Nothobranchius furzeri: one gene and its partners. The main gene of each other region encodes a partner of the protein of the gene in region 3 in a complex. Links are inferred from orthologs where the notes say so. Each region holds a gene or a part of one and is shown on either strand. Other genes may lie near its edges.

Region 1 (6,230 bases), on a different chromosome or scaffold from region 3:
CATACTTGGCATTCTGATGATCCTTTACGTTGATCTGTGATAACGAAGGCCAAGTAACCATTACGTTTTAACATCTACTTATAGGAAAACGAGATTTTATTTTTCATTTAATACATTTATGACTAAACTTGTGGGTTGAAACATCAAACTTCGGCATTTTACAGCAACTAAAACTTCTAGTAATACACATTTCCAGTGATGGAACTCACCACCAGCATCATGGGCTCATGAATGTTTCCTCTGAACAGCTGTCTGTTCTCTCTGAGCCAAAGGAGAGCGGTGTGTGTGTCCCTGTGGCGTGTCCGCAGCTTCTCTTCTTTCATGTTCATCAGGTTGTTCATGTCATTGAGCTTCTTCTGCAAGCCTGGCATTAAAATAATAAAATCCTAGCAATGCCGTCTGTTATTTTAATCATTAAATGTAAAGTCTGTTTAGTTTTAAACTCACTTCTGGACTCTGCGATGACGTTGTCCCTCTCCCTGCGCAGGTCGGCCTTTTCCGCTTCAATCCTGGCTGTCCTCTCCTGGATCTCCTTAAGTTCCACACTAATAGCAGAAATCAGCAGGGTGGTGTCTAGTTGGTCTCCGAGCTTGTCCAGCTCCACCTTCAGGTCTTCGATGGTCCGTCTAGTGTTGACGATTCTTTTCTGGTGGTCTTCCTCTTCAATCTGCTTCATCCTCAGTGCCTGTTTAATGTCATCAATCTGCAGAGGAGAGATGAGCCACAAGGATGACGTTATTTCAAACATTTAATTGTTACTTTTTTTTTCCTCTTCTTTGAGCAACACCCCCCCCCCCCCCCACCCCACCACCACCACCACCTCTTTATGTTTTCGATCCAGCTGATCTTGTTTCTGCTTGCACTTCTGAGAAGCTTCTTTGATAGCAGCAGTCTGAAACACACATGGTTAGTTTAACTTAATGTTCATGTAACAGATTTAGACAGCAAGCCACCTTCGGTCACCTTAGCTTTCATTTCTGCCTCAATGGGCTTCAGCTTTTCATCAATCTGCTGGATTTTCTTCAGCATGGGCGCCTGGGCTTGCTTCAGGGTCAAAAGCTGCTTTTTGGCTTCTTCTCGCTCCTTCTTCACACCCTCCAGCTCCTTACGAGTGGTTTCATACTCCTGATATCAAAGCCAAAGAGGGTAATCAGATTACAAACTGGATTTGTTTCCACAGTTTGTGCAGAGTGCTTTATGTGAATAACTCACCACCCACGGTTTCTTCTTCTCCAGCAGCTCGATGACGTCAAGATGCCGCTTTTTTTCATAGTAGCGGTTGACATCGAGCTTGTTCCTCTCATTCCTCTGCTTGGCCTTTTCCAGGAAACTCGTCTTCTCCTTCAAGACGTTCTACAGACAAACATCCCGCCAAAACCGCAGCGAAACGATGAGTTGCATCTTTCACAACAGCAAACATGTAATTATCATGTAACAACAATCCAGCTGACATAGCTGAGATCTCAACGGGAATTAGATTATCTAAACAGTTATTCCCAAAAAAAAACTGTTACACAAATAAAATAAAGTTTCACCTCCAGTTCTCGTTCTTTGCTGCGGAAGTTTTTAAGCTCACAGTGGTACTCGTACATTTCTGGTGGTCCAACCGACTTCTCGGTTGCCTCAAGCAACTCAATTTGGGACATTTTTGCAAACTCTCCAACTTTTTCCTGTGACAGAACAGAGAAGAAGTTAGAAAATGAAGATTTCTGACACGTTTTACTTTGCACAAGTGAAGCACTAAAGTTAAAGTCACATAGTCATCATTACACACTGGTGAAATTCATCTGCACATTTGACCTATCCCCATGGAGGGGAGTGGTGAGCAGCAGCGGTGGCTGCGCTTGGAAACTATTTGGTGGTTTAACCCCCAATCCAACCTCTTAAAGCTGAGTGTCAAGCAGGGATGTACTGGGTCCCAGTTTTAAAGTTTTTGGTATGACCCGACCGGGAATCCAATCCCTGATCTCCCAGTCCCAGAACAGACACTCTGCCACTAGGCCACTGAGCTAGATCACATCTAGAAAACCTACCTGAGGGAGGAACTGGCAGAGGTTGCTGACTTGAATTTGCAGAGTCCTGACCTCTTCTTCTACTTGTTTCAGGCTGCAGTGTCTTCCATTCAGCATCCAAAGTGACTGATTGTTCTCTACATGGATCTCTCTGTTAATTATCACATTACCTCCATTTTTGTACCTGTAGAGGCAAAAACAGACATCATTTCATGCAAGCATGTCTAATGTTATCTGGCTGGTCAACCATTAGCTTGGTACTTGTTATGCAAGAGCATCAATCTGGAATTTAGATTAAAAATACAAAAAGTGTAATAGAGGAAAATCTATGTAAAGTAACTTACAGTTCAATCTCAATAGAGCCTTTCTTGCAGCCACGTTTGACATAGAGCCCAACCTGCATAAATAATCTAAATCAATTTATTTAACCATTAAAAGCTTGTAGCAATCATGACTCTGTGGTGCATAAACAACAGAAATTAAATAGTTTCTGCAAATGTTTATATGTCTTTATTACCAGTGTGATTTTAACAAACCAATAAAAATCTTGACTCCATCGCTTTCTTAAATGGTCTTTTTCAGAATAAATCAAGTAGACCAGTGCAGGTGGTTTGTGTACCTTGTCTCCTCTGCCCAGAATTGCTGTCTTTCCAGCCAGACCCAGGCAGATGGCACATACAATGCTGGACTTCCCAGTCCCGTTAGCTCCAACAATCATGTTCAGATTGGATCCCGGATGGACCACAGAGAAGTCATACGTTCTGTCAGTGGACAGAAAACACATTTAGGAGTTTTCGGTTATGTCACACTGCGCAAAATGTTATCTTATATAGCTAATTTTACACAAAACATTGTATTTATTGTATCACTATATTTAAACAGCTAAAATTGAGCCGTTAAACCACTAATTGTATGCTAGCTGTTCACTTCTGTGCGCAAACTACGTGATCAAAAGGTTTAAAACTTTATAAAACAACAAATGGTGCTATTATAAGCTTGTATGTTATCTAAGAGCACAATGTGATGTTTGCTGGCTACCGGTAGAACTCTTGACAGTTAAGGAACTACAACTTACAGGAAGTTTCTCATCGTGATGCGAAGGATGGAACCCTCAACAAATGTACCAACGCCTCCGGCAATATCCGAGTGTCCACCTCTGAACACGCTTGCTCTGCTCGCAGAAGTCTGCGTGTTTCTGCTAATTTGACTTAATCTCGGTCTTTTACTTGATTCGCCCATAGCGACTAAACAAAATTCTCTTCGCGGCTACGGTTCGGCTACGATCACGTTGCTTATTCTCGCGCGTTTTGCTGAGCTTTTAAGAGGTCACATGTACATAAAAATGTTAACGCTAACTATCACGAGAACATGTATGAAAGTAAAACAGGAACACGGATATGCTTGTGTAATTTTTTTTATGCTTGTGTAGTTTTTGCTCATAAAAAAGTCCGAATTTGTCTCTAATGGCCAATTTTAGCATTTGCATGACTACATGCCATGGTGCTGTAAGCTGTATGCACAGGCCAATAATACTATAGCACGTAAGTTTTTGTTCACCAGTTAAGGTGGCTTTATTTAAAGCATATTGTACTCCGCTTTATACAGCCCAACTGTGGTTGAGCAGTATTTTTGGTTTTGTTGGGCAGTAATTTTGATCTTACAATCAAAGCAGCATGAATAAGCTGCATGTTGCATTCAATGATGCCTTAAGAATCATACTCAAAATACCCAGAGGGGGCAGTGCCAGTCAGATGTTTGTAACAGCAGGCATTTGTACTTTAAAGCTCTTTTAAGAAAACTAATGTTCACTTTTAGAGAACGACTGGATAGCTCTGCCAACAGTATAATTTTAGCAATCACTGATCCTGCTGTGAGCATTTGTCGCTATTTGTCCAGTATAAGGAAACACTGGCTGAAGTGTTTGTGTGGTTACTCTTGTGTGGAACATCTTTATAGTAAGTTTTTTTAAATAGATTTAGATGTTTATGCTTTTATCTTATTTGTTTTTAATGTTTTGTTTTATTTATTTATTTTTTAATCTGGACATAAGAGTCTGTCAATAAAGATCATCCATCCATCCATCTTTATCTATACAAATGAAAGCCACTTTTGTTTCACCATTTCCTAACATGCGGGTCTCGTGGCTTCTTTTCGGCTGTGGTGAGATCAGAATCGCCTCTTTACTCATTGTTCTTACAGGTAAAGCTTTAAGGCGAACCTCAAGCCGACCCAGAACTAGTATATCTGATCAATTCATCACTTCTGACCACAGCACGAAATGTGGAGGCCCCATTAGGTGTTTGTCGCCGGCTGCTCATCGCCCCCATAGAAGCTCGCGAGCGCTTTTTTTATCATTTCTAGTCAGAGCAGAGCCAAACTCAGACCAGATCAAATAAGATCACTGTGTAGGTTTTTAAAAATATACACACATACAACATGCATACTCCACATTCACTCACACAGACGCTCGCTAACTAACAACACGCACACAACCAGCCACTCATGCTATGATGGCTATACACTTCCGGCTCTATATAAAAGGAAGCGCACGCGTTGCATCATGGGACATGGCCAGCTTGGAGACTGTCGCCATCTAGTGGTTTGTTGTGGGAAAAGTCCAACAATTTTTCTTTTTTGTTGTTGTTTTGTTTTGTTTAATTGATTAAATGTTTTGGATTAAAGCTTTGCAAGGCTAATCAAAATTAAAATACTAAATTGTTCCTTGTAAACGAGACACTTTTCTATTCTTTAGTATTAAAAAATATAAACAATTCAACAGTGAGAAATCAATGTGTGTGATTTTGTTTCATTATGTTTTTATTTGTTCTTGTAATTTTTCTGTCATTCAGTAAATCAAAGATTACTTGTAGAGCACTTTTCGTAACACAGAATACTTTACATCTGATAAAAAGTTACTAACAAATAAACCCACAATTGCTGGTCAAAATAACTTGAGAAATGATTGCCTGTAAATAATCTGAGCAACTGTGATCTTAATCTAACACAGATTGATTTAAATCCAGTAAACCACATAAATAAATTATATATATATATATATATATATATATATATATATATATATATATATATATATATATATATATATATATATATACATATATATATGTATGTATACACATATATAGAGAGAGAGAGAGAGAGAGAGAGAGAGAGAGAGAGAGAGAGAGAGAGAGAGAGAGAGAGAGAGAGAGAGAGAGAGAGAGAGAGAGAGAGAGAGAGAGAGAGCATTTCAAAATAACAGTGATAAAGTTGGAGTTTTTATTTTTCACAAATATACAGTGACATCCTTTTGGGAAAAAATCCTAGTTTAAAGAACTTTATTTTTTAGGGAATACCGGTACTCAAATAGATAATTCACACAAACACTTTTTTTGTTGGTGACTGAGTTTGTTGGGAGAGCAGTCATCTACATGCTTCGTTGGTTTTAAGTGGTATTTGCGTCTGTGGTAATTAACTAATCTAGCATCCTGTGTCCTGTGGGGGTTGTGAGGTAATCTTGAATGGCATAATGAGATTTCACTGTCTACAACCACTGATGACTGCTGCTACAGTACACCGAGTCTGCAAGGTTCCCCGTCAACAACAGTATGATGAGTGAGGACACCTGATTTCATCAATGGAATAAAACAGAAACACGGATAGTGGACAGAAGCAGTGGACCTCCACCATCCTGCTATGGAGGGGTCATCTGTGAAAAAAGTGAGTTCCTACACATTTTATTAGATTGTTTAGTTAACTTTTGATCCGTTTATGGTAACGTTTGTGCAAAGTCTGTAACTTTATGCAATTGTGTTTTGTGTAGATGCCAGGAAAGTTTGCTTAAGTCTCTCTTTAAAACTCAGATGTTGCTTGACTCATAAAAATGAAACTTTTAAATGCTTCCTTGATGTTTTTAACCACTCAGGTACTGGTGGAGCTTCGTGTTGCAGGTGTGATAGTCATCATGTAGAGTTTAGAAACTGCTTCTAATATCAGTGTTTGTGCAAATCTCAGTAACAAACACACCTTTTCTAATGCTTTATTTATTTAGTTAACCTTACTTAATCTTTAACTACTCAGAAGCACATTGATCAGAAACTATTGATTGCAATGGATTATTGAAGGTAGATAAAGGAATGTAGGTAGTGAGCTTTAGTGACTTTTGCAGCTCACTCCAGTCGTTGGAAGCAGCAAACTGGAATGAGGAGCAACCAAAGG
Region 2 (5,953 bases), on a different chromosome or scaffold from region 3:
GGCTAAATCAGTCAAGACCATCCGAAATTCACCAACAAGAGGCCCGAAATGGAAGCACGAGTGACACGTACCTGGAAAATCCAGACACTCCATTAAGGTTTAACGTTGTGGATAATTTCCCTTTTTGATTTGGAAGTGATGATAAAAAATTTAATTTTGGGATGAATGTCGCACACGGAGATCACCTGCACTTGTTCAGGATGTTTGATACGAATACTTGTTGAAGGACAAACATTTAGTACATTATCACCAGAAAGGTGGCATCAGTGTAGAAAATGTGTGAAATGCTGAAGGTTAGTGTTTGTTTTCTTTATCTCTGATATCATTTTTCAGTCCTCAAAGGCAAACTGTCCTTTGCACATAATTTATTCTATTTCTTTGGCCTTTTTCCACATTTTACATGCATCCTATGATGGAGCATAAAGTCGATAAGTTGCCCGATTCTTTTTTTTTTTTTTTTGTGCAAGCGAACAAGTCAAATTTAGGATTTGGGATTGAAGTTATCACAGTGTGGTGTTGACTACAGACACTTTGAGTTGAATCTATGCTTTTTAACTGCAGAAGGTTATTTGTTAGAAAGCTGTTTTGATTTTACTCCTAAAAACATTTTGAATGTGGTCTGTTTGTAGAGTCGGGGATAATGTGATTTAAGAAGATATTGTTAAATATAGGGACTTCATTTTAAACACAACTTCATTCTTTGACCTTAATTAATTTATGTTGGATGCAAACACACTGATCACCACGTTGCCCCGATGAGTGCTGTAATGACAACACAACTGTTTTCTGACACATTTTCTGTTGTAACTTAATGGTGAAAAGCTTCAAAAGAAGTTGGAAAATGTCAAAGAATATTAGGAAAAATTCTGCAGTAAAGCTTAATGACATCGGATACTGTACTTAAATGTTAATAATAGGCTATATTATAATCCGAGACTCAGACATCTTGTATCATACGTTCTTATTTAATTTGCTAGAATAATAAACCTTTAGAATAAGTCTTGTTGCTGTTCCTTATGGATGTATAAAGCACCAGATACACTCAACAAACATACTCCTCTATCTAAGCAGCTGAGATAAAGAATGAAGGACCGTCTTCCACATAAGTGAACATTTGAAAAACCTTTCCAAGTGGATTTTATACAAAATATGTTTATAAATGAATGATCATAGTGCCAAATCATAAAAGCCAGTTAAACACCAACATGACAACATAGACCCAACCAACAGGCTTCAGTTTTAAATGTCGTGACAAATTGTTAATTGTTAATTTATTTTCTCACTCAGCAGTTTCATTCATCATTCATGCAAAATACAATCATCAACAGTCTCCCAAGTGAAAAAAAGGGGGAGGAGGAAGAAGTCTTGTATGACCTACCCCTTTCTACTTCATACAATATAATTTACAGAATGGCCTTATACACAAACCACGTATAGAACTTCCTTATCTTTGTAAACAAAATCACAATAAAACGTATCTATATACTTATTCAATATTAACTTATCAATGTAGGATTCTATGATTTTTTTTCTTTATATAGTCTCTTAAATTGATCGGTAGTTTAACATTTTTTCAGGTCATGATGCAGATTATTCCATAAATTTACTCGGTATACTGAAATACACATTTGCGTTAATGTTATTTGTGCAAAAACTCTTTTAAACTCAGGCTTCTTTCTATTTTTTCCCATCATTTGAAATCAAAACAAAAAACTCCTGTAACTTCACTGGCAGTAACCTCTTTTTTGCCCTGAACATAATTAGTAAAGTTTTCAAATTAACCAAATCCCCGAATTTCATAATTTTTGATTCAATAAAAAGTCTGTTGGTATGTTCTCTAGCGTCTACTTTATATATAATTCTCATAGCTTTCTTCTATGAATCTAGATGAAGAGTTTTGTTTATTTGTTAATTCATTGTTTAGAGGGTGCGTGTTCGTAATAGAAGCTGTTGCGTTCGTGACCCTCCTCACCAGCAGGTGGCGCTCGTTCAGCACCACTGGTGGGAAAAATCACGGAAACAGAGAAAGCGCGCCCCCTCGGAGAGAAGGAGCAAATTCTGCTCTTTTTTATTTTGTTGTCGAAAACGGTAAGTTAACAAATGAGCTGCTTGACTGGAAATTTTCTTACGGACACGAGTAAAAGGACGTTTAAAGTTGAACTCACGTGTATAAATGAACAGTTTCCAGCCTTTTGTTTAGTCTGAAGGAAAAATAAACCCTTTGAGACCAGCTAAGCTCTTTGAACCAACGTGCAAACACATGAAGTGTTTCACACAAGCAAGCTGTCTGTTTAGTATTTAAAACGGGTATTATTCAGTATGAGCTATAAACGGAATCATCCTCTTGGGTTTATCTTGACATCAAGTCACACAAATCCTGATTTCAGTCAATTTTCGCCAAAACCTTGTCAAGATCCTGGTTTGTGGTTCTTCATTTGTCTCCATGTGTTTTGGGTTTAATTTTGTGTCGATTCGCTGAAATGTATCATGCAGCTTATTGACTGCAGCGCAGTCAGCATTTGGAGGTTGCAGCAGTTTTTATCTGGTTATATTGAAGTGTTGAAGCTGTCAACATTAACAGGTGTTCACATTGGAAAAGACCACGATGGCACTAAATGTGTCCAAATAACTATTATGCATTTTCATATTGAAATAACTGTCGAGGAGTTGTTTCTATTATGATCTCATTTTTCAAATATGATCGCTGATTCAGTGTTTGTAGCCATGGCACAACATCTGGGAGACAGCCATCGAAGGTTCCTGCAGAAAATGATGGTCAGCGGCATCATTGATGATAAAAAAGCAAAGGCACTTCATCAAATCTGCTGCGAAACACACAAAAGTGAGTTCATTATTACATTTTCACACATTTATAAACATTGACTGGTGTGGAGTAATCAGGTCGGGGAGTTAGTGCAGAGTCCTGAATGATATTTGTAACATTGAATAGATCAGTGTCCTCACTATTGAGATTTTAAGTTGGCATTTTACTTCCAGAGATAATTAAATGGCCTTTAATCATGAATCCAGTGAAAAGAATAAAACATTTAAAACCTCACATGTAGATTCAGGCAGTTTCAGTGTGTTTACCTTACTGTCCGTCTTATTTTTAGAGACTTTATGTTGTCTGACTGTAAAAAATTACCTTCTAAATCACTCTTTTTCTTTACTTTGACAGCACAATATGCTCCTGACAAACTGGATGAGTTCATCGAGACCATCAACTCAAAGCTGCAGCCGCTGTTCATGCAGATTAGGAAGGGGATGTCTGAGGAAAATGGTCAGCAGTTCTACGCTTTGGTTAGTGAATTTAACTCCACTTTAGTGTTCACACTTAGGTTAATTCCCTCAAATAGGAATGTTATTGACGGTCCAGTGATTTGTATCTGTTTAGTATGTCAGGAGAATTATTGCATGTTGTTGTTGAAGGTCGTTCTGCTCTGATTCTTCTGGCCAGGTAAACACGGCTGAAACTGAAATCACCAGGATGTCGTCAGAATATGCCGATAATGAACTGGAGTTGTTCAGAAAGACCGTGAGTGAAGTTTAACTTTCTCAGACATTGTTCTCAAACACACACATACATTTTGCTACTATATTATTACAGACTTAATGACTCTGTTCTAATTCAGATGGACCTGATCGTGAGCTCTGAAAATGGCACAGCTTCCTCCACTGACATCCTGAACAGCGCCGACATGATGATCACTAAGAAGCTCAAGAAGAGTGAAACAGAGCACCTTTTAACTCGACTTGTGAGCGACAAATGGCTTTGTGAGGTAAAATAAAAGTCTGCACCAACATTTGAGAAAAAATATCACAAATCCCACAGTTTTTGGTCATTTTAACCAGTTGTACCATCTCAGGGTTTCCCTTACATAGGCGTAGCCGTGGCGGCCCGCCACAGCTGAAATCCCACCGCTACGCCTACAAGATCCCAAGTTTTTTTTTAATTTTATTGTTATTTTTTTGCGCTGTTTCCTGAAGAAGCAGCAGGAACTACTATGTTGTCGCTTGTGATCACAGCCGGCGGGCAGCAAGGAGGAGCAGGCAGGGCAAGGTGAAGTTACAGCATAAGTTACTGAGTTTAAAATTAGAAAGGTAGCAGTGGATATAATGCTTTTTGGTTTATGTGTTTCAATAGCATTAAGATAAACGAGTGACAGGGTTTCCTCCCCCCACCAGGCTAAGCATCACTTATTCATGTAAAATTGATTTATTTTTTCATGTCTGACTTTAACCGCATCTAATACTGTATTACGGCGTGAGCGCAACAGCGACAACTTAAGATCGATGTGTGAGCAGCCTGAGCGGTCGGGTGTTTCATCTGAACCCTTAAAACCTCCAGCAGGCTACGTTGCACTATTGACGTGTTAGCGTGCGGCGCTAACAACTTAGCGACGTGACATGTCTCGGAGAAAGCGTAAAAACACGTTGGACGCTTCTTCTGAAGCGGGAAAATAACGCTTCTTCTTAAGCAGAGCACGACGTCGCCTCGGCTCGTTCACGGCCGAGCCGGACTGAGCTCGATAACACTGACCCAGCACAGCCACTGGGTCGTTGGAGCTGCCCCGTGACTGCCTGATGGAAAACCAGCGGGTTTCGTCAGACTCGTAGTTTCTTGTTTTTGCTGGGGACCCCCTGTATTTTACCGCTCCCTCCTGCAGTCTTCCCCTATTAACATTTAAAATGATTCTGTAAATTACGTGTATCAATAGAAAAAATCTCTACCTCTGCCAGCTGCAGTAAATGTAGTCTCCAAATAATAAATAAGAGGTGCATTCATCTGTGCATCTCCTTTGATCCGCATTAGTGATGTTCTCAGCACCAGAACAGGGAAGCAAAGAAACAGATTCCTGAGTTTGTTTGTAATTTTATTTATTAGGTGCATCTAACCTGTTCTATTTTTCTCTGAAATGAGATCAAATCAGTGCTTCTATGGGTTGTCTCCACACTGCACTGGAAAATTTTACTTTATTTAGAGACGTGTCACAATCACTCCCCACCCCCACCCACCGCCACAGCTGGGAAAATTCCTTGGGGAAACTGCATCTGATTCTGCTCTTATTTTTTCTAACAATATAGAATTTGTGTGTGAATTTGTAGTTGTGTGTGAGAAACTGTTACACCAAGTTGTTGACTGTTATTAAATAGCAAGCATTGTTTTAAAATTCAGTGTACATATTTATATTTTTCAGACAAACTTTAAATTGAGCTTGAATGCATCCCACAAAAACACATTACCTCCGTCTGCCACACTGAAAGGAATAAAGTTTATCCATTTAGATTTGGTTTCCAGTTCTCTGCACACAGACTTCAGGATAAAAATGCTTTTTCACAGCTAGATTATATATAAAATAACAGATCTAAACAAGTCTCTCGTAGTCTGAGTTGAACAATGACTTAAGAGATTATATTAAAGCAGTTTGTTCCCTTCTTGCTGTGTTTTTCGTGTGATTCAGTGTTGTTTACCCCCTTAGAAACGAGGGGAGTACACTCTGTCCACTCGGTGCATCATAGAGATGGAGCCATACATTCGTGCCATGTATCAAGATCAGGTCAAGATGTGCTACATCTGTCACAGCGTTGCTTTTCAGGTAATTGTTCCCTTTTTACGTCATACAACCTTTTTCTGTTGTCTCTATGCTCGGGTGGCAAATTCCTGAAATTATTTAGGTATTAATACTAGGGCTGCTCGGCTATGGCAAAAATGATAATCGCAATTATTTTGACTGAAATTGAGATCTTGATTATTTAATGTTGAGTGTATTTATTTATTTATTGTCATAAATTTGCACAGGGCACAATCAGAGAGAAAAAAAATAAAGAAACAAGATAATCACAAAACTCCAGATTCCTAGTATCTAAGAGCCTGTAACAACCATTTAACCAGTTCTTATTTTTGTTCACTAGATGTCCTTCTAGAGGTAATTGATGGTACCATATAGGGAGG
Region 3 (5,917 bases):
TTTGCGCTTTTCTGTCTCTTTTGCTGCAAACTCCAACTTTTCTCGACGTTGTGCCTCTACCTTCTCCTTCAGCCTCCTCCAGCGTTCATCTTGAAGCAGCACCACCTGTTCAAGATGGCCTGCCTTCTCTTTCTCCCGATGCTGCATCCTCCTCTTGCGGGCCTCCAGTTCCTTATGCCAACGTTTCATACTCTGCTTAAGTCTTCTTCTTCTATCTTTATCTGCTTGGACCTTCTGGGTCTCCTCCTCCCTTCGGACCTCCTGCTGCTTTAGTTTCTCCTGCTGTGAGAGCTTCAGGCGATCCTGCTCCTCTTGATGCTTGACCAGCATGAGAGCTGCTATCTTACGATCCCTCTCTGATACTGTGACGCATGTCTTCCTTTTGATTTCAGCTGTGAGCCTTTGCAGCTGCTTTTCCGTGGCAGGTGAGTATGTCAGGTTTCCCAGGTGGAAGCTGCTGATTGTGCTCCTTTCTGGGTCTCTCGTGTCAGAAGCAGAGCAGTTGGACCTGCAAGACTGTTTCCCTTCAGTGCACAGATCGGCATATAGAATAGGCTCTGATGTCTGTTTGTCTGACATTTTTGTTTTAGGCAAAACTTCCAAGCTTGAAGCTGCATTACTCACAGACCTCCTGCTGCCAGACACTGAGACATTCTTCTCCTTCTCCTTATGGCACATTTGTAGAACCTTTGATTTTTCTTTCCTGTAGGATTCATGCATAACCCTCATGGCCTCGAAAGGCATGTCATGCTGCTCTGTAATCAGGTTGTTCAGCGATTTAATTAGAAGCTGAACCGGTTTTATCCCGAGTTGATGGCAGGAATCCGGCAAGCTTGGACTTGCTAAAATGCAATGGCTCTTCTCTGCTCCCACTGACTCAAAATTGTTCAGGTCTGCACAGAAAAAAGGGGACTTCGCCTCCCCCATCTTAAAAGTTCTGACACCTTGACAATATGCTCACATAGGACTGGATTCTACTGATCCGCTCACCTCTACACAGCCTGTCCAGCACGGAGATGAGGTCAGCAGGGGATTACCGTGTCTCCACCTCAGTAGTAACAGGAATAGAGGCTTATGTGTTTTCTGTTGACATAGCAAAGCTGATTTTAGTTAGCAAATTAAATAATGTGTGTGTTAGATTTGTGCTTTCTGCTATATTGGACTTTAGAATAAAATAGACTAGAATAGAATAGAATTCATTTTATTGTCACTATACACATGTGTCTCAGTTAAAAGGCAAATTTAATGTCACAGTGACTTCTAGAGACTCAGCTTATTTATCCCAAATTATGATGCTAATTTAGTTTACGTAAACATTTCTTTAAAATTGATAGAAGTGACACTTAAAAATCTGAGCAGAGACGTTTTGAGTAGGACCTGGCTGCAGACCTTGGACGTTTTTGGTTACCATAACAACACTGCGGCAAACAAAGAATTTTATAAAGAGGAGCACCCGCATTAAGTTGGTGCTGTCAATTTTTGTATTAGCGCCATCTACTGGCAGCGTTTGCCACAACAAGCCACTGTCATTTCTCAGACAGGTTTAATGTTTATATTCAGATAAACATTTCTTCTGGCTCTACCTGTGTATCTACCTCACATAAAACTAATAGAATAATTTTAGATTTATGTTTTGAATTTTTAGATTCTCTGTGTCATATATTTTTAATTTTATTTTTTAAAATAATCCTTTGATGATCTGCTTTTATTTTGACGGGTTGTGATTTGTCACACAACTTCCTGTCTGCACGCGAGAACTCTGGTTTGGACGTATTCTTTGGTTTTAATGCTTGTGTCTTTGCTTATGTAACCTGTTTTATTTTTTTTATGCGTTGCACTTAAATAAAACCAAAAAAGTGCTTCTTCGAGGCGACAATTAACCTCAAACGCTTTTATCGGTGCGACTTTCCAACTCACCTAGCTAACTTTCGTTTAGCACGTCGCGAGGACAAGAATAAACTACAGTCTAACGTTCGCCACGGATAACTCAAGGTAGTGAAATTGTGTCTTTATATTTTTCTGAAGTTCTTAAGAGAACTACGTGTTTACTTTTCCATACAATCGGACGCTTGAGTCGACCAACACTGCCTTTATTTGTTTGAAGTTGACTTTTTAAAGTAATAATTCCCCTAACTGTTGATTTGCGACTTTTGTAGCACGCAGCTAGTTTCGGCAAAGGCTGAAGATGAGGAGGTCTAAAGCTGGCGGAAACGTGGAGACTCGTCGGCAGAACGGCTCCTCTAATCAGTTAGCTGATCATCGTGAGGGGGAAGACGCTAACGGTGACTCCAGCTCGGCTGCTCAGCAAGACGACGAGGATGAAATTAACAAACAGGGCCAGAGGAGAGAGATAAGGAGCAAGTACCGAGACCTCATCAACTCAGTACAACGTGAGTGGATACCCGGACAGCTTTTACCTGATGTTAGTCCTCCCAACACGTCATAAATCCATCTACTCCTTGACTTTTCTCCTTCAGAAAACAGGGAAGATATGCTGAGTCCATCTAACAACAAGCTCACAGAAGTTTTGGAAGAGGCCAACAAACTTTTTAAAGATGGTAGGTGTGATGCAAGTAATTTGTTAGCAGATTACTTCTAATGTTACAATTCTGTGTCCTTATTTAAGTCATTTATCCTGATGCAGCCACTCAGAATGATGAGGTTGATTTGTGTGACAGTTCGACAGCCGAGGGAAGCAGCGCTCGATGCCAAGCTCCTTGTCGCAGCCACAGACCTGGGAAAAGAGAAAGCCAGCCAGCTGTTTTCTGAGGGGAGCACGTTTGATCCTACTGTATTTACTGAGCACCTTGTAAGTGTGTTTACTGTACTATGCACAGCTATAATCACATATCTACACTGTATTTTTCTGAGTTCGTGCAATCAGAAGTCCTGCACTGGTTGCATAAGTTAGTGTTGCCACCTTTTAAAAGTAAAAATAATTTGTTTATATCAGGGAGCAGATTCTGGGTCGGTTAGCAGCGCTGCAAAAACCTCAGTTTTGACGATCACGTGGTCGTGCAATTTGAATTAGCAGTTTTATTTTGAAAATGACAGATGGTTTACCCCAACTGCTACACAAACAACCAAAAGAAGTGTTGAAAGTACCTTTTCATCTCAAACAGCTGTCCTTCATGGGTCTGAACCGACTTGAAGATGAGGAGGATGATCATCAGAATGAAGGTGAGGGCTATCTGCCCAAAGACGCTTGGCACAGACTGGCCCAGAGAACAGAGAGCTGCTTTAAGACCGCACCTTCTTTCCACTACATGTGAGTACCAAACAATGCTACGTACCAGCTATAGCTCGTATTTAAACGGGACAAATGAAGACAAGATACACATACATCTGAAATCCAAATTTCTACAGTTGTTTTTGTTAAGTCTTATTTTGGTTGTCTTCAACAGGATGGGATCCTTCCATGCAGAACCACCTCCTCCAAAGCAGAGAACAGAGCGGCAAAGAAGAGCTCCCAATAAGGAAGCCAAAAGAATGATGCCCACTCAGGTAACTAAACTTGTTATATTTCTGTTACAAACCTGTCTGTGCAAAAGGTTATAGGTAGGAGTATTATCCCTTAAGAAAACAGAAGCCTTAAAGGTGTGATTCACCGAAAAACCAACCACACAGCAGGACTCTTAACAGGCTTGTGTTGCTTGTAGAGATAAAACATCAACGTTGGAAAGCAAACAGAGTCAGTGGTAGAGTTGTGTTGCTGTTTTCAGTTCTGAGGTGAGATGTCCAAATATCAAGAAATAAGACTCCAAATCGTCTGAAGCTACTTTCCTCTACAGTTTACTTGTACTTTCTGATACAGGCCCATCTGAACTCTTCTCAGTATCACAACTTTAAAGAGCAAGTCACCCCCTACCAGAGTATTACTCCCACTAGGGCTGGGCGATATGACGATTTTAGACCGTTTTACGATCTACACATCTGACGGTCTGTCATTTTTGAGAGACCTTTAAATCACGATTCACAGCTCTGCTGTTGAAATTCTGCCTCTGAATGAAAAGGGAACTTACCTCAGGCAAATGACACGCCTTTGTTTGACCCTTAATCAATCAGAGTGAGTCATAGTAATATATTAGTGCCCCACTTGTTTTCACCTGTGTGTGAACAAACATGGCTTCAGCCGTGGCTGAGAGCGACAACGAGGTTTTCGTTCCGAAGAGGAATGCCTTGTCCATTATATGGAACTGGTTTGGTTTTTCACTAGGGCCGGGACGACGCGTCGACGTAATCGATTACGTCGACACGTAAAATACGTAGACGCAAATAATTTGCGTCGATGCGTCATCACGTTCAAAAACAAACATGGCAGCAGCGAGTAGTGGCAATGTGAGCGGGGCAGTCGACTTAAATCACTCAACCCGAACTCGCAGTTCAAAAGTATGGGACTATTTTAACAGAAAAGGAAGCGATTCAGTCGTTTGCCGGCTGTGTAAAGTGGAAATGGCCTATCATATAAGCACGACTGCTATGCACCGGCACCTCAAACAAAGGCATCCAGGAGCAGCTTCTGCAAACAAAAAAACACCGTAAGTTTTCAACTTTTTTTTTCTACTAACGCTGTTTTATAACATCCAAACACCACCACGTAGCCATGCACTAACTCACACACACAAGCAGGCCCACTCTCACACAAAGATAAACACTCAACCCCTGGAACTCACTAACCCTCATTTAAGCTGCTTAGTAGTAACATACAGCAGCAGCTGTTATCTGTTTTGTTTGTTTTTATTCGTGGCTCATGATGGCCAAATGAGTCGGAATGCGCACGTGCTGATTATGAGAATCGGCGAGAGCTGAAAATGTGAGCGAGCACTAATTGTCCGCAGTAAAAATGTTAACAAAGACAATGTAGCACCTGCTAAATGTAGCCGTCGTGGACATTATTACAATATTGTTGAAGTGCTTGCAAAAGCAAAATGACAACGGACTCTTGATTGTCAAGTTTAATGCCTCATCCTGTTCGAACGTTATTTTTTATACATCATGCTCCTCCAGCTTGTTGATCTTATAGATCTAAGTTGCACCATCTAATGACTACAAAAATGTGCAGCATTTTGTGTTAAAAACCTCTTTTTTAACAAATCTTATCGATTAAATATTTTGATTAAACACTAAAATACAGATCTTCAAATTATTATTTTGATATTATGCTTTCTACATAAATATTTTTGTAATAATTTTAATTTATCTGTGTGTTGTTTGTGTGATTTATGTTTTCAGGAACAAACAGAAAAGTCTGGAGGACTACTGTCGGAAAAGAACGCCCTGCACCCCCCAGGAGGTGGCTGTACTTACTTAGAGCATCCTATCTATGATTCTGAAAGACATGAGACCACTTGCTGTGGTTGAGGGTGAAGGATTCAAAGAAATGCTGACCACTTTTCAACCAGGTTACACTCTGCCTTCTAGGCGCCATTTTACAAGCATGATGGAGAGAAAGTATCAAACTTCAGTTGAGAAACTAAGGAACGAACTAAAAAAGGCCTCGTCCAAAATCTCCTTTACCACTGATGCTTGGACAAGTGTAGTCACAGAGTCCTACTTAGGTTACTTATGTTAGATTTTGTTTGTTAAAAGACGCCATTGTTGCTATTTATATATTTTTTTGTTATAAATTTTCCTTGATTTATATGAATCGTTTGCACAACATTTAATTTTTTGTGAAATGTTATCTCTAACATAAGATTGTACTACTATTACAACAACTTTATTTTTGAATTTTTGTTATTAAAATGTGTTCGAATGAATAAATTTGCATTTATTTCATTGAGATACATAAATTAGTAATAATCAAACTGCTATACAAGTCAAATAATTGGGAAATAATCAATAATTTAATCTAATCAAATTAACAAATTAATCGTTAGATTAATCGATGCATCGAAAAAATAATCGCTAGATTAAT

The links.
Region 1: nsmce4a (region 3) and smc5 share a complex: the UniProt entries of both Homo sapiens proteins name them as parts of the SMC5-SMC6 complex. The link is inferred for Nothobranchius furzeri from reciprocal best matches to the Homo sapiens genes NSMCE4A and SMC5.
Region 2: nsmce4a (region 3) and nsmce1 share a complex: the UniProt entries of both Homo sapiens proteins name them as parts of the SMC5-SMC6 complex. The link is inferred for Nothobranchius furzeri from reciprocal best matches to the Homo sapiens genes NSMCE4A and NSMCE1.

Annotation. Positions count from the first base shown.
Region 1 is NC_091755.1:27,650,673-27,656,902, reverse strand, and holds the start of smc5 (structural maintenance of chromosomes protein 5), read right to left. Parts: upstream 3,454-6,230; 5' UTR 3,252-3,453; coding exon 3,088-3,251; intron 2,774-3,087; coding exon 2,632-2,773; intron 2,410-2,631; coding exon 2,357-2,409; intron 2,197-2,356; coding exon 2,034-2,196; intron 1,671-2,033; coding exon 1,536-1,670; intron 1,354-1,535; coding exon 1,213-1,353; intron 1,126-1,212; coding exon 964-1,125; intron 893-963; coding exon 821-892; intron 704-820; coding exon 448-703; intron 365-447; coding exon 210-364; intron 35-209; coding exon 1-34. UniProt on the Homo sapiens protein: Core component of the SMC5-SMC6 complex, a complex involved in repair of DNA double-strand breaks by homologous recombination.
Region 2 is NC_091744.1:4,221,262-4,227,214, forward strand, and holds the start of nsmce1 (non-structural maintenance of chromosomes element 1 homolog), read left to right. Parts: upstream 1-1,797; 5' UTR 1,798-1,877; coding exon 1,878-2,088; intron 2,089-2,713; coding exon 2,714-2,842; intron 2,843-3,178; coding exon 3,179-3,300; intron 3,301-3,457; coding exon 3,458-3,535; intron 3,536-3,632; coding exon 3,633-3,779; intron 3,780-5,480; coding exon 5,481-5,597; intron 5,598-5,953. UniProt on the Homo sapiens protein: RING-type zinc finger-containing E3 ubiquitin ligase that assembles with melanoma antigen protein (MAGE) to catalyze the direct transfer of ubiquitin from E2 ubiquitin-conjugating enzyme to a specific substrate.
Region 3 is NC_091752.1:15,327,562-15,333,478, forward strand, and holds the start of nsmce4a (non-structural maintenance of chromosomes element 4 homolog A), read left to right. Parts: upstream 1-1,730; 5' UTR 1,731-1,992; intron 1,993-2,156; 5' UTR 2,157-2,185; coding exon 2,186-2,390; intron 2,391-2,477; coding exon 2,478-2,558; intron 2,559-2,678; coding exon 2,679-2,809; intron 2,810-3,122; coding exon 3,123-3,268; intron 3,269-3,404; coding exon 3,405-3,504; intron 3,505-5,917. Other genes in the region: coiled-coil domain-containing protein 177, read right to left, coding at 1-927. UniProt on the Homo sapiens protein: Component of the SMC5-SMC6 complex, a complex involved in DNA double-strand breaks by homologous recombination. The complex may promote sister chromatid homologous recombination by recruiting the SMC1-SMC3 cohesin complex to double-strand breaks.